Linked DNA regions of Oreochromis niloticus. The protein of the gene in region 2 purifies or fractionates together with the protein of the main gene of each other region. This does not show direct contact. Links are inferred from orthologs where the notes say so. Each region holds a gene or a part of one and is shown on either strand. Other genes may lie near its edges.

What was found.
Region 1: the proteins of cdk13 (region 2) and ccnk purify together in Homo sapiens (affinity purification with mass spectrometry; 4 studies listed by BioGRID and IntAct, counting the BioPlex papers as one, with this or other methods). This does not show direct contact. The link is inferred for Oreochromis niloticus from reciprocal best matches to the Homo sapiens genes CDK13 and CCNK.

The regions. Positions count from the first base shown.
Region 1 is NC_031980.2:2,995,028-3,002,176, forward strand, and holds the start of ccnk (cyclin-K), read right to left. Parts: upstream 3,014-7,149; 5' UTR 2,827-3,013; coding exon 2,819-2,826; coding exon of another isoform or gene 2,818-2,818; intron 2,060-2,817; coding exon 1,823-2,059; intron 1,469-1,822; coding exon 1,387-1,468; intron 1,293-1,386; coding exon 1,161-1,292; intron 1-1,160. UniProt on the Homo sapiens protein: Regulatory subunit of cyclin-dependent kinases that mediates activation of target kinases.
Region 2 is NC_031974.2:13,116,414-13,124,109, reverse strand, and holds the start of cdk13 (cyclin-dependent kinase 13), read left to right. Parts: upstream 1-4,694; 5' UTR 4,695-5,641; coding exon 5,642-6,789; intron 6,790-7,023; coding exon 7,024-7,590; intron 7,591-7,680; coding exon 7,681-7,696. UniProt on the Homo sapiens protein: Cyclin-dependent kinase which displays CTD kinase activity and is required for RNA splicing.

The DNA of each region.
Region 1 (7,149 bases), on a different chromosome or scaffold from region 2:
AAAACGCTGTAGGCGCTGGAAATACTGCACATGTTAAAAAACATGAAAGCTCATTTTGGCAATGAATGGCAAGTTTCCATTACCTTTACTTCCAATTAGTAACGATAAGCCAGATGAGAGTCAAATGTCTGAACTTTTCATTTAAAAACACTTGAGTAAGAAAGAAGCTAATGTACAATTCTGACTTAATGACAGTAGTTAAGCTACTAAAAACTGGTGAGAAAAGCCAGGACACTGGCTAATTCTAGCATGACGCTAAACAAGTTAAAGAGCGACTTGGAAAGCAAACAAGCCGTCTGTATGATGCTTGTGCCGCTCCATATGAGTGCTGGATCTAATCCAGAAGAGTGTTTGCTGTAAACGTGTCTAATAAAGTGTCAAGTTATAAGCCAGGTCCAGATGTCACAAATGCATGCTCTATCAAAAGTACTCAAGGTCAGATTAAGTGAAACAGAGGCTACTTCATGCTAATAGATATTTTAGCTCGCCAACTGGTAAGAGGAAAAAAGAAAAATCTTGAATGTTGAGAGGGAGTTGTGTGTTTTTAATAGCAAAGACGTGAAGAGGCATAATGACATAATCATACTCCACTGCATTTAAAACTTGTTCTTGTTTGGTTTTGACCCCATGACAGCAGAGGGTAACTGGTCTGATTACTGTCTCTGTGAGTCAGGGCACATAAAGCTGTGCTGAGTGACGCTCTGATGACCTCGCTGATCTGTTTAAAGAATGAGTCATGGCTTACTGTGGTATTACGCACCTAATGCACCAGCTTAAAACTAAAGAAATGTAAGCGTGTTTGAGCAAAGCTTTGTATGCAAGTGAACACAGACAGTTATTCTAATAAAAGCGAGGAATAAAAGTTTGTTTGTAATGCAAGCCTGCCTCACTTACAGGCAGCTAAGGTAAATAAAAGCCCTGATCACTAAAAAAAATAAGTAAGGAACTTTTTAGGTTATTGAAAACTCAGTCTTCAGTTTTACCAGGACCTCATTTATTCAAGCATTAGTGACGCTGTTATTATTGTCATCTGCCTGTATCACAGTGAGGCCTGTGACCACTACACACTACCTGTTTTTAACAGGTATTCACACCCATTCTGCTTCTGCTATCACAAGGCAAAAACATCTCAAAACAAAGGTGAATACAAGGAACTGCACCTTGGGATCATCTCCAAACTGTGCAAACTGCACATCATTCAGGAGGCTGCGGGCAGTTTTAATGATATCTTTGCACTTCTTTGGGGTTTCCTCTACTTTACCAGCCAAGAAAAGACAACAAGCTCCCGTCACCTGTCGAGACACATATCACACCATTACTTCACCATTACAAACATCAGGTCTGCTTCCAGGAGTGAAACAATCAGGGACCATTAGATTTACTTACATATCTGGGAAACTGCTTGAAGGAGTGAAACATGTAGAAGCGGTGGAAATATATGATGCCCGTTGCCAGTGTGTCGTAGTGTCTAAATGCAGGTCAAGGACTCACAAAGACTAATAATGGTCATTTGCAAAATATCAGCTTTAACGTGTGACTCTTTAAATTAAAAAGAAAAAAGTTTTTTTCTTTTAATAATGATTCCACAAACATCATTATATATATAAGTATATCAGACAAACCCTGTAAAAATGTTCACATTCACATCAAAGTAGGTTCTGTGAGAAAGGACAAGACAGCCATAAAAGACGTTTTCAGATGTACTGCTTTTTAAAAGTCTGTTTATCTTTAACTATAAAACTGAAGCATGTGGCACTGATTAATCGTGTGACCCTTTCTCTTGTAGCTGTAGCAATAAATCTATCATCTAAATCAAGGATACAGGCCAAGTCGGGTCCCCACGTCGAATATGAAGCGAGCCCCTTCTCTGCGATACCGGGCCTCTGTGCCAGGGTCCAGACCCTCAGACTGAGAGGGCGTGTGGGCTAAATCCTTCTTGTCCCAGTACCAGCATGGTTTTATATGGTCCAAGATTGCCTGGCCCGTCATTGACGAATTTTCCTTGGATTCCTTCATTGATTGAGGAGAGGCGGTGGATGGACCCGCTGTGCTGGACTGCGGAGATAAAAATAAAAAGGATCATCACTAAGGGCAGCAAAGCATTAAACAGCATAGCTTACACAAGTAAATATTTACGTTCAGGCAAAGAGTACCACAAATCTGCCTATAACCTGGCCACGAGTTTACGTCCACTCGCTATTTTGTGTAGGCCATAGCGTAGTTTTATACACACACTCAGGCTTATAAACAGTGTAATTAGCTTGTAGTCCACAGTGTGAAACGCTAAAGAGCAGCAAACATTTCTGAGCTGCATTGTGCTCCAAGTCCAGGCTCGTTGTAAATAAATAGATGAGTAAAATGGATTCAGACAGCAACATAATATATCTATAATTTCCATGCATGTGTAAATCTCGTCTCCCAGTGTGCCTACAGCAGCACAGCAGAATCAACAGCCTAATGTAGACACAGCGAAAATGCTTTGCAACGAACCCGCTACTGCTGGCACTGTTAGCTGTGATGGTAACTTAGCTTCGTAAAACTAAAAAAGCAGCAAGGGGCGGAGATTAGGATAACATGAGCCACACACTCGAAGTGGCTTAAACGCGCCGATAGGCTAACATTTATGAAACTCTCCAACTGAAGGCAACCAACGCTGTCACATCGACAGGGCCACTCTGCACCAGCCTCGGCTAGCTAAACCTCGGCTAGCAAACTTGCTCAACTCGGTGTTAACGCCGAAGCTTCCGACATGTCACAAGTAGTTCAGAATTCAGCCTCTTCATCTCCCTCCCGCTTCCAACGAGACACAACTCTTACCTTTAACATGTAGACGTCCGAATAAATCGCCTAAATCAGACAGTTGTAGCAATAATCCACAGTTGATCACAATAAGTTGGCTAACAAGTGAACAACAGACCCCATTGTAACAAGGGCACCACCATTTTGCGGTACGTCAGACCATTGGAAGACGTCATCACGCAGGCACTCATGTACACGTGCTCTCGGGTCACATTTTTCTTTCCATTTCCGCTGCTACATTAATTTCATTCGTGTTTTAAGTCTAACTAGCGCTGCTGGAAACAGCCCGCCTTTCCTGAAAACATTTTAAATTCTTATATTCTTGATAATAATCTAAAGGATGATATTCCCAATAATATCCACTAGAGGGAGACACAGATTCACTCTTGGACCTTGGCGGTCAGCATTGACTTAGCATTGACCAAATAGTTTACATGTGCAAATTACAAGCAAGCAAGCAAATATTATTTACATTGTGCTGAATAGTCACCGGTTATTTTCACACCTGGTGAGTCCTGCAGCAGGTAACACCCAAACATAGAAATATGCTCCTTACAAGAAATATCACTGGATGTAGCAGTAGCAGGATGTAAAAGGAACCCAATCAAACAAGTATGAGTTGTGACCAGTATAAATGTGAATCTGCAGGTAAGTTAAAAATTAAATTAAAAAGAAAAAATGACAAGGTTAAACACGTATAATACATAAACTGAAGCAGATTTTCCTTTGTCGTTTGATACCTATAGATTTTTATACTCCTGTATATGTTACAAACAGACTGCTGATGCACAACTGGATCTAAGAGTAGATGAGTTTTGCTGGTATTTGCCTGAGAGTGCACATACTAAAGAACACTGGGTCCAAATCTACTCTGTCTGACTCCCTAAAATAAACATTGCTGGTTTATTTTACTGATTAAACACAAGCAAATCCCTCATTTTTTAACTCAGTGCCGGCGTTATCTTCTATATTACTCGTGAGTTATTTATATCTAATCAAACAACACGTACACGTTTAAAATTTACCTTAAATGTTGGTTTTGAGCTGTATGCACAGAATGACGATGATATTAATTAATACGCAAAACAATATATGCACATGAGATTCAAACTGCAAATAATTATCATGTATTATCTGTCACGATGGCATCTGAGTTCAAACATGAAGGTTGTGAGACAGGACAGATTATGAAAGTTTACCACCTCACCCTGCTGCAAAGGAGAAGGTGAGAAAAGGGACTGATTAGGACAAAAAAAGAAGTTGTTTGTGGTGTTTATTGGTAATGGAAACTTGCTATCATATTAACCAAAAAGGAATTTTAAGCAGGAAAATGAAAATATTAGAAAAGTAATTTTCCTTTAGGCTCCTGTTGTTGACATGTGAAAGGTGCAGCATCATCTGTACTTGTTTAAATGTCACTGCATAAGAGCGGGGTTTGCAAGTAACATCTTGTGCCCTCTGCATCCCCCTCCCGCCCAGTCTCACTTCTGAGAAAAGCCAGCATTGAATCATTTACTCCGTCCAAATTAAAATTTGGAATCTGCATGCATTATATATTCACCCCTGCTCGGACAAATCCTCTTAACTGTGGGAGAAATTGTCAGGATGTGTCCTGTAGAAAAGTAAGAGCCTTGTCTAGTTGTATTGCCTGTAGCAAGGGAGCATCTCAATCTGTCACTCAAATCCACACACACACACACACACACACACACACACACACACCAGCCACCGTAAATCAGCTTATGAATAATATATACTTATACTTTCTTTATTAATATTAAACATTGCATAATGAAGCGCCGACTATAAGCAAATCCCAGAGCAATATTCATATTACCCCAGCTCTCCTGGAGTGGACCTTTCATTGTTTATGTCAGCTCTGTCACGCTGTGGTTAAACGCATTGAAGACTGTCTCGAAAGGTCTGCACACTTAACCCTAAAAACTGTATAAAGTGCAGTTTCCGTCATGTACATTAGTCTATTTTAGGATACTGTATTAATGTCTTTGTTGTATTCTTTAGAGAGTAAATAAATGGGAGGGACATGAAAAATGGAAGATGTAAGGGATGCAATGATGGAGGTGACCCAGAATCAAAGCCGGGTGAGCCGCGTGTCCACTCAAATGCAAAAGCTCCTAATTTTTTTAAAAACTTTGTCACCGGGCTCATTATTTTAACTGTAAGTTACAAACGAGGCAGATCTTTCTAAATTCAGTAGATTCTGGAAAAAGCGATTGCATGTCAGCACCGTGGCCCCTTGTAAGTTGGACAAAACTTTCACATCTTGCTTGGATGTTGCCCCGTGGTGTGTTCAGGTACCTCCTCTTGAGCGACCACACTTAGCATGAGAGATGCATGTCTCCTTGGAGGCAACATTTGGACTTAAAACCTTTCCTGTGTCCACAAGCGGGGTATTTGTGCTATGTTGGCCCCATGCAACCCAGCTTTAAACTGCCTTTGCCCAGAGCCTGCAGTTACAAGCTATAATGGAGACATTGATGTATTATTGAGAAACCCATGGGTAAGGATCAAGGAGCTGCTCGCAGCCGGCAGGGATGGCAAGAGAGCGAGCGAGAGAGAGAGCGTGTGTGAACTCAGGATAATGTTTTCCTTCAGCATTCAATATGTCCACGACTGCTGTTGCTCTCTTGGCCCGACGCGGAGTCGAAGACTCTCCGTGTAATATCACATATCGAATTTATGCGCTCCAGTCAAAGCAATATGCTCGACAACATGCTTGGCCTATCTGTGAAAGATAGCTGTTGTGCCGTAGTGTTTCCATGTGGCGTCTGCTGAGGTTACGTCTACTTGAGCCAGAGCTGAGATGACATTTCATTTATATAAATAATTACTGTCCTGAAAGTCCCCTAGGCCTGCCCCGAAGCAATCAAACTTCTAATGCTCTTAAAATTGCCCACCATGTTTTATTAATGGCGGGCTGTAAAATGTATTGCTGTGGCTGCACACTTCTCTGCTGATCTACGAGGAAACAGTGTCAACTTTAAACGGCCGTGTGAGGCTATTATTTTTATTCAACAATGTATTTCAAGCAAATTACGGCACGGCACCAGTTTGGACTGTATGGTGTGGTGGCGTTAGGGCTGTACTAACCTGTATCTCAATGCAGACCTGTACGTGTGCAATTACCTTCCCTTAGTGCTATTAATTGCCTCTTAGTGAACCCGATCTGCTTTTCCAAGGACTCTCTCTCAGACGCTGAACTGTGTAAATGGCAAATTAAGGAGGCTTCATTCTAAAAATAGGGATGGAGTTTAGTAATGCTGCATTAAGGTATCACTGCCTAAACAGGTTCTCCAGACTGTGCCAACAGAGGGTACTGTTGCCTCACAACATATTTAAATGATCCCCAACAACAAAGCTACAGCATGGGTTTTCCACCCTCTGACTCAAATGTGAGTAAGTACTGCATGTATGATGCCATGTGTCCTGTGCAGTGCTTCAGCGTTTACATAGTCGACAAACAGCAACACAAAGGATTGTCTAAATTAAAGGTGACCCTTCATCCAAGTTTGACTTGGACCTGATCTAGGTGTTTGCTGTTCTTGTTTTAAGATCATTTCCATCTGGCGTGCCTGGGAGACTTCTGTAAGCAATGATGAGGGGTGGTGGTGGTGGTTCTAAATAGGTAAAAGGTGAAATGATCAGATTGTTTTACTTCATAGTATTTGTGATAGAATTACCAAAAAGAAAAAATCAAGTGAAGGTGAATTTTGGCTGCTAACTTGACACTGCTTCCAATAGCCAGACGTGAGCGTGCCTGTGAAGTAGCCACTGCTGAGTGATGTTTGCGTCTGAAGCTCGTGGTGGAGCTCTGGGGAGCCACTGCTGGTTGCCCCCCGCAAATTGTCTCTGTGTTGTCTGCCGTTCACACCTCTGTAGTGGCTGATGTCTTGGACGCACTTAAACTTGAATGAGGCAACACCAACCACACACACAAACACACACACATGCGGGGTCGCCCCAAACAGGGCATGTTTCGTCGTGTGAGCTGCAAAGACGGCTCAATAGGAGACACTGGAGCTTGTTGGAAGGAGGGGAGGGAGGTGTCTCTTGTCCGTCTGCCCGCCTGCGCTCTCTCTCTCTCTCTCTCTGTCGCTTTCTCTCCCTCTCTCAATCAACGCGGCTACTGCCACGAGAGCCAAGAGTTGCCGTTTCTGCGCACCGATGCCAAAACGCGCGAGGGGAGTCAGTGCCAAAGGGTCATTGTAGCGCGCCACTGCTGAGATGGAAGGACTGTAGGGAATCCTAAACTAAAGAGCCACCATTTGAACCCAGATGATATAATTATATCATTAAAATTAAAGAAAAGGGAGAGGAGTTAAATAGGTG
Region 2 (7,696 bases):
TTGTTGTTTTTTTTGCAGAGAGCAGATTCTGCGAGTGAAGGAGGATGAGAATGTGCCCTTTCTCCTGGTTGGTAATAAGTCAGACTTGGACGACCGACGGCAGGTTAGCGCAGATGAGGCAAAGGCACGTGCAGAGCAGTGGGGCGTGTGCTACGTGGAGACGTCGGCCAAAACTCGTGCCAATGTTGACAAGGTTTGTTTAACTTGCTGAACATAATAATTCCTGGGCAAAATGAGTTGACTATGCTGACACCAAGCAAAACAGACACATAAACACAGAAATGTGAACACTTGTGTTTTTTATGTTCTCCTGTTAACAGGTTTTTTTCGACCTAATGAGAGAGATCCGGGCAAGAAAAATGGAGGACAGCAAAGAGAAAAACGGGAAGAAGAAAAGTAAAAGTTTGGCCAAGAGAATTAGAGAGAGATGCTGTATTTTATAGTCGTTAGAGGGAGCAGGCTCGCTGCTTATGTACATACGCATTTCTCAGACTTTTGCTTTTTTTAAAATTTTTAATTTAATTTAATTTTTTGTGCCCATACCTGACCATGATCTTCTGTTCCTGGTTAACAGGACATCTGACCATGTGTCAGGAAGTAGTAAGGTGGCACTTCATACACCATTTATAGCTCTAACTTTTTATGTGCTGACACTCCAAATAATTTATGTACCCTCTCTCTCTCACTCTGACCACATTACAGAGTGTAATAATTCAGTGGTGTTTTTAATTTAGACCTAAGCTTGACAAAAGGCTAAGTCTTGAAATGTTCCAAAACGTTTCATTGTAAAGTCTGACACGTGTGTGTGCGAACACACACACACATATTAAGAGAGCTGTGCAGTGCAAGTTGAAAAAAAGATTTAAATGAAAGTCTAAGCGCCAAGGTTTAAACAGGGAAGATGTAACTGGAGCTCAGTACTGGAAAGCCCCAATCCCTTTTAATTAATCCACCATCTTTGGTAGAAAGTGTTAGTTAACAGACTCAGCAGTGTAGTGTCAACCCAGAGTTCATCAAGAGCCACAGAGGAGATGAACATTGCACTGAGCATGTGAATCATTTCAATTAGAAGACAGTTCCATTATCAAAGCCTGAGACAAAATTTGATGCCATTCCTATTTGTCGTTTTACACCTCAGTTTTACTATGTTGTACAGTTATGTATACTTATTTTTAGTCGTGACGTCAAACATTTCCCTTCTTCTTCTTCTCCTCTATCATATCACCCAGTGTAAGATAAGCGCACTAATGTTTCCACTAATCTCTCCCCTTACCCCAGAGACTTTGAGTCTTCTCAAATGCACAATGGACATTAATCGTTACCCTTGAATCTGTGAGGGATTTTGCAACACTTGAACTTTTTTCAATTCTAACATGTCAGAAGTTTTACCTCACTTGGCATTGCCTTTTTTTGCGATAAAGGAATCCCTGGTGCTCAGATAAAAGGTGATTCCATAACACTACATCCCTTACATGCTGACACATCTTAATTTTAAAAACAAAGAAACACATTGTAAATTGTAAAAAATGTCATTTTTCATGTATAACTTTCCCTGACATTTAATCTGCAAACTTTTATCTCCCTTTTCCTTTTGTTAAATGGAAAAATCCTTAATTGGAAAGCTGGGGTAAATTAATGAATAGATCATTTTTAAGGCATGAAATGAAAACGAGACTGCAGGCTGCATAGACGTGAGGTGATACTTGTCCAAAAAAAGTTTTAGTCGCCAAAGAAAAACGCTAGCTAGTACAAACAAGTGCCCACTTATTATTTGAAGTGAATGACAGCTTGCTGTAATGAGCATCAAAAGTAAGCACTACAGTCTTTGCAAAAGTCAAAAGGAGTGTCGGGAAGCGTCGAGATTTCGGTCTGATTCGCCTGGGGAAAGAAATGCAAGGTTATGAGGGCTTTAGTAATTCTTGTGCAGTGCGTCACTGTTGCCTCTCTGTCCATTGTGAATGTGAAACATCCCCTCATACTCATCCTGTTTGCCTGTAATCTTAGACTGCCAATGATTTGCAGAGTTTAGAGGTCGCTGGCGTTCTACTTTTCTACGTTTTGTGCAAGGCTACCCTGTGTTACAGTGCTGTAGTAACATGCCGAATGTGTTCATTTTATCTTGTAGATGGCATTTTAGAGGCAAAGGTTGAAACAGTGTATAGAAATTGGCAAATTGAGAATGCATAGACCAAAATACACTGTGAAAACTGCCCCTCGTTTCTTAATTTATGACTGAGCCTTTTTTTTTCTTTTCTTATGAACATTATAATTTATTTTTAGTAACTTATTATTTGTTTTTAATATTTCAGTAAAGTTAAACAGCCACGTTGAGGTTGTTGCCATGTTTCTCTCTGATTCACTACCAATCGTTAACTTAATAGTAAGCTGCTCACCATTTACACTAAAAGATTGCCACAACCAATAACGTGCCCAACACTGGAGTCTATGCAAAATGTTTGCTGTAATTGCAAAGAGGAAATGTGAAACCTGGAAAGAGTTTAAAACACTGACTGGGTCTAGAAACTATTGACTAGTAGAAGCACTTGAGCTGGAGCGCCATTTAGAGATCTGACTGCAGTTTGGAAAAAAGTGTGTCATCCAACAGCTATGAAGCTTTCTTTTGTCTGTTTGTTTGTCTTTTTAATGTGCGTTTATCATGCAACTCATGTTTACAGCAAAGCACATAGTAGGAGGAGTTGGACTTTAAAACAGTAACGTGAGATGGCATCAAACTGATTGGTAAGCAGTTTAGTCTAATATATGTCCTAAGGGCTAAACTCCAGTACACCACATAATGATTGAAACGCCCTGAAAGTTAAAGTGGCACGCACAGAAACTGGAATGAGCATAAAGATCCCAGTTTATTATTACTCTCCTTCTTTAGCTTGAGATTATTACATTAACCGCATTGTGTCTTCATTGTTGAGGATTACAGAAGCTGCCCTACATAAAGTGACTACCGTAATGCTTGCTTACTATAACACTGGCTAAACAAAGTCTTTCTTGTTTCAGTTTGTTGTGGGTTTTTGTTTATTCAAGCAGACATCATTCATAATCATTCTACTGCTGTTACTTTGTTTCCACATATTAATTTAATAGACTTGATAGCCCGAAAAATTTCAGTGAAATACTAAAACAGATGTTTGTGTGAATGCTATGAGCAAACTGTCCTACTGGGTATTCAGATAACTTGTTTTGCCTTTTCTATACCCTTGGAGTAAAAAAAGAAATATATAGGTATCTATGTAATTGATTGGATGGTTGTATGTATGCCATCAGTTAAATGTTTCCTTCATGTTTCCTTATTTTTAACATAACCACTAATGTAGCCTATCTGTTTGTGAATACAAGAGGTGACGCTTACATTTCAATTCATTTTTTTGTGAGTTTGGAAATGGCAAATAAAGTGGACATTACTAATAACACTTTGTAAATGTGTTTGTATGTTCTGTGTGATACGTTTATTGTTTTTTGCACTGAACAGGTGAACTTTGAAGTGCTGTGTTATATGTATAAACATGGATAATATCTATCTCCTTACCCTGACCTTTCTTAGAGGAAAAGCACTATCTTAAGGTCATAAAACAAACTCTTGAAGTGTTTAGGTTCTTTCTAAGCTCCTTAGAAACTCATGAAGCCTTTCAGCAGGCCTGGATTGCCAGGAAAATGGCAAGACATGTCCATAAAAACACACCACAAAAAAAACTTTATGCCAGAAAATGGAAAAGTAACATTTATTGGTGTCTTTGTTGGGTAAATAACAATAAAAACAGGTAAATAAATATATTTGTCACAATTTCAGCTTAGGTCTGTGCACTTGGTTTAGAGAACAAAGTAAAAAATTGCTTTAGCTTTTAGGTATCTTTATCGTGTTCCACCGTTAACTCTGTGTCTGTGATGAATGATGTAATTTGTAAGGTATTTCATTTTTATTGCATATAAATATATCTATGTATATATGCGCACACACAGAATTTGAAATATTATTGTACAATAGATTGTGCATTGCCAGTCAGATCATCTTCTAATATTATTAAAAAATATCCCGAGTAAATACAAAATGCAGTTGGTAAATTATTTCATTTATTAACAGTAAAGGTTATCTAAACCTACCTGACCATATGTGAAAAGCTCTTCTGCAGAGAAAAGTGAGCCGAAATTCCTTTCATGTGTCAGACTCATTGCCAGTTATCGCAAATGCTTGACTGCAGTTCTTGCACCCAAAGGTGGCCCAATAAGTTACTAGGTTTAAGGGGTATTTACTTTTTCATACGAGGCCAGGTAGGTTTGGATAGTTTTTTTTTCTTTAATAAAAACATCTGTTTTGTTTTTAATACTTAGATTTAACTTCTTAATTTTCCAATCATTCCCTTGACAAATGACCATATTCTGTATAGTATAGTATTAATCATTTAAACTGAGGAATGATTAAATAAATGAATGAAACTAAGCCGAACTGTGAACCTAGATTAACTGTGTCGCGCATATGGCGCGTGATGGCAGCATCTGGTCTTATTGTAATCAATGGAAAGACATAACCTGGAGTTCCATTTACTGGATACGTGGAAAATAACCATCTCCTGTACACTCTGGTTAATATCGCATTTTCATATCATATTATGTGGGGGGGTTTGATGGTAGGGGTTTCCCTTTCGCTGTGACGTTACCAATGGATTACGAATACGAGTGCCATTGGTTGACACCGACGCACAAGGCCTGTAGTTTGAAAGCAGCCTGGGCCCGGGCGAGCTGTACCGTTAGCTGCACTGGGAACAAAGTTATATTAATATAAACACATTCAAAGATTTTTGAGCTATTTAACGCAGAGGTTTTGCTACTTTCGGGTAATGCTGCAATCAGCTGAGGTAGCAGTCCAGCAAGATACGTGGACGCAGGCGTGATTTTGAATGGCATTGTTTTCTTGCATGTTGACTGAGTTGTCTTGAACTCCACACAAGGAGAAGCTAGCTGGCTAAGTTGCTAGCGGCTAGCTGGTTAGCCGCGGACTATCCGGCCAACTCGCGTGCTGTTCACTTCCTTGTTGCACACCGGAGTGTGATGGAGGGCAAGAAGTTTGTGAGAAGGAGACGGAGTTTACTACTTACATTTTAACACTATTCGGTAAATGGATTTACATGCTCGCACAGACGGTAACGTTTTAGAAGAAGTGGATCTTAAATTTAGAGAGGCTATAGGCCTGTGCTTTTACCATGAAATGGAATGCGACTGTGTAGCCGAGTACAGTTAGCCAGTTAATACTAGCTGGCTAAACCGACTAGCATTAGCTGGTAAATCTGGGAGATGTCCGTCCTGGAACACAATGGTTGAGTATCGTATGGCTCTATAACCAAGAATCATTTTGTGAATTTGATATGAGCCGGAGTGTGCTGGCACTAAGTGTCATTAATTTCCTTCTGAACTAACTCACTTTATCTTAAATCTGAATTGTACTAGCTTTGTAATGCTAACGTTAAGCTAGCTGGCTGGCTGTCTACCTGTGATTTTGCTGTTACGTTAGCTGACTAGCCTGTCACCATAGCTAGCCCAATGTTTTGTTCCACGACACACCAAGGGACATAGCTTTGGTAAATTAGAGAATATATTATTCTTAGCGTGGTGGTAGCATTTATTTGGGAGATAAATGCCTAATTCGGAGGTGCTTCGCGAGGGTCGGGGACGGAGCCCCTCTGCACAGAGAAATGCTAGCAGGCAGGACAGGCGTAGCAAACCGGGGAGCGGTGCCGCTCAGCGAGACAGGCACCGTGAGAAGAGGCGCTCATCGGCTTCTAGAAGAAAGAAACGCAGGCAACCCAAGGAAAGAGGCTTGTGGCATACCGGTACAATAGAAGACCCTGACAATGATCGAAGAAGTGCTTTTGAGAAAGATGTTGAACTTCGGACACTGGTGGAGTACGATGACGTGAGCTCCCAGTCAGAGCGTTTTTCTGGGAGCCCCTCTCCTAAACTTGACCCCCATGCTGAGAGTCTCACAGCGGACCGACTTAGCGATGTTGACTTTGTTGACTATAATGGACCAGCATCCCCAGACAGAAGTCACCCCAGAGAGCGGGAGGCAGTGAGCCTCAGCAAGGACGAGCAAACAAGAGGACCATCTGAGAGAAGCAGGCAAGAGAAGGAGCTAAGTAAGAAAAAAGACCGTCACAGTCGGGAGAGGGACTCCTCAAAAGCCAGGAGTGGAGGAAGCCTGAGTGGCTCTAAAAATCACAGAGACACTACAAGGAGCAGTGACAGGAATGGCAAAAGGACATCTACATCCCAGTCCTCACAATCTGCTGATAAAAGGGATTCAAAAACGCACAGAAGTAAAACAAGATCTGATAAAGAGCCCCCATCTGCATACAGAGATGCTCCACAGTCTTACAGAGATGATCGTGAGGACCTCAGGGCATACAGGAGAAGTCCTGGTTTTAAATCAGAAAGTCCCTATGGGACATCATATTCATATAACTACCAGTCTCCTGGCGGTTATAACCAGCTGATATCTAGAAGGAGTCCAACTTATGGGAGCAAAAGACTGTCTCCCAGTTCCACATATTACAGCCGGGATGTAGACATGTATGGGTCGTATGGTGCCCCCAAGTCACCCAGTTCATACTCAAGCAACAAAAGGAAGAGATCGCCTGTGAGCCCAGTGAACTGGCGCAGGTCTCCGAGTTACGGTCGGCACAGTCCTTATGAACAAGGAGAGTTTGGCTCAAGCCCTTATGGTAACCGGAGGCGATCACGAAGTCCATATAGGAAGTCCTTGAGCCCAAGTCCTGATGTCAGGTGAGTTGTTATTTCGGAGCTAATTGAGCATGTTTAATTTGTTGCACATGCTCTGTTGGTGTGGTGACTTTATTAGATTTGTTATAATAAGGCTGCACTGTTTCATATTTGATTTTAAAATAAAATAAAAAATTATATGTGTCACTGCAGTTGATAATCTGACTGAAATACCTTGAATTATAAGTGCTTTTAATATCCCAACTGAACATGCTGTTCTCATCATTTCCTTTCCAGGCGATCTGCTAGATCACGTAGTAGAAGTCCATATTCAACTTCAAGGCATTCACGTTCTCGCAGCCGACACCGCCACTCTCGTTCCCGTAGTCGGCCATCTAGTCTTTCACCAAGCACGCTCACCTTCAAAACTAGCCTTGCTGCTGAACTCAGTAAGCAGAAAAAGGCTAAAGCTGCAGAAGCAGCTGCCAAGGCCAAGAATTCGAGCAATACATCGACTCCCACCAAGGGTTCCTCATCCGCTCATCAGCCCAGCCCTAAATCGAATCACAACTCCAGAAAGGGTCGCCCTCCTTCTCCACCTCAACCGGAGAAGGGACCCCGAACTCCCACATCAACCCAGCCTCAGTCACCCTCAGAGAGGTCATCCAAGAAGACAACAGAGCACCAGACCAGCAGGGACAGGGATGTAAAGGGCAAGGATGACTCTATACATCGGGACAAGAGGAAAGCACCAGCGTCTGGACAAGGCAAAGAAAAGGAACGTACCACAGGTCAAGCCATGTCTACCCTCCCATTGCTGCCATTGCCCCAAACAGTTATTGAGCACACGGACAAAGGAGAAAGGTATGGATGTGCTGACCAGGAAATGTTTGTACTCTGTAGATATGATCAGACTGTTTCAGTATGCTAATGCTCTCTCAACAATTTTTGCAGCTTGAAAGACAGCTCA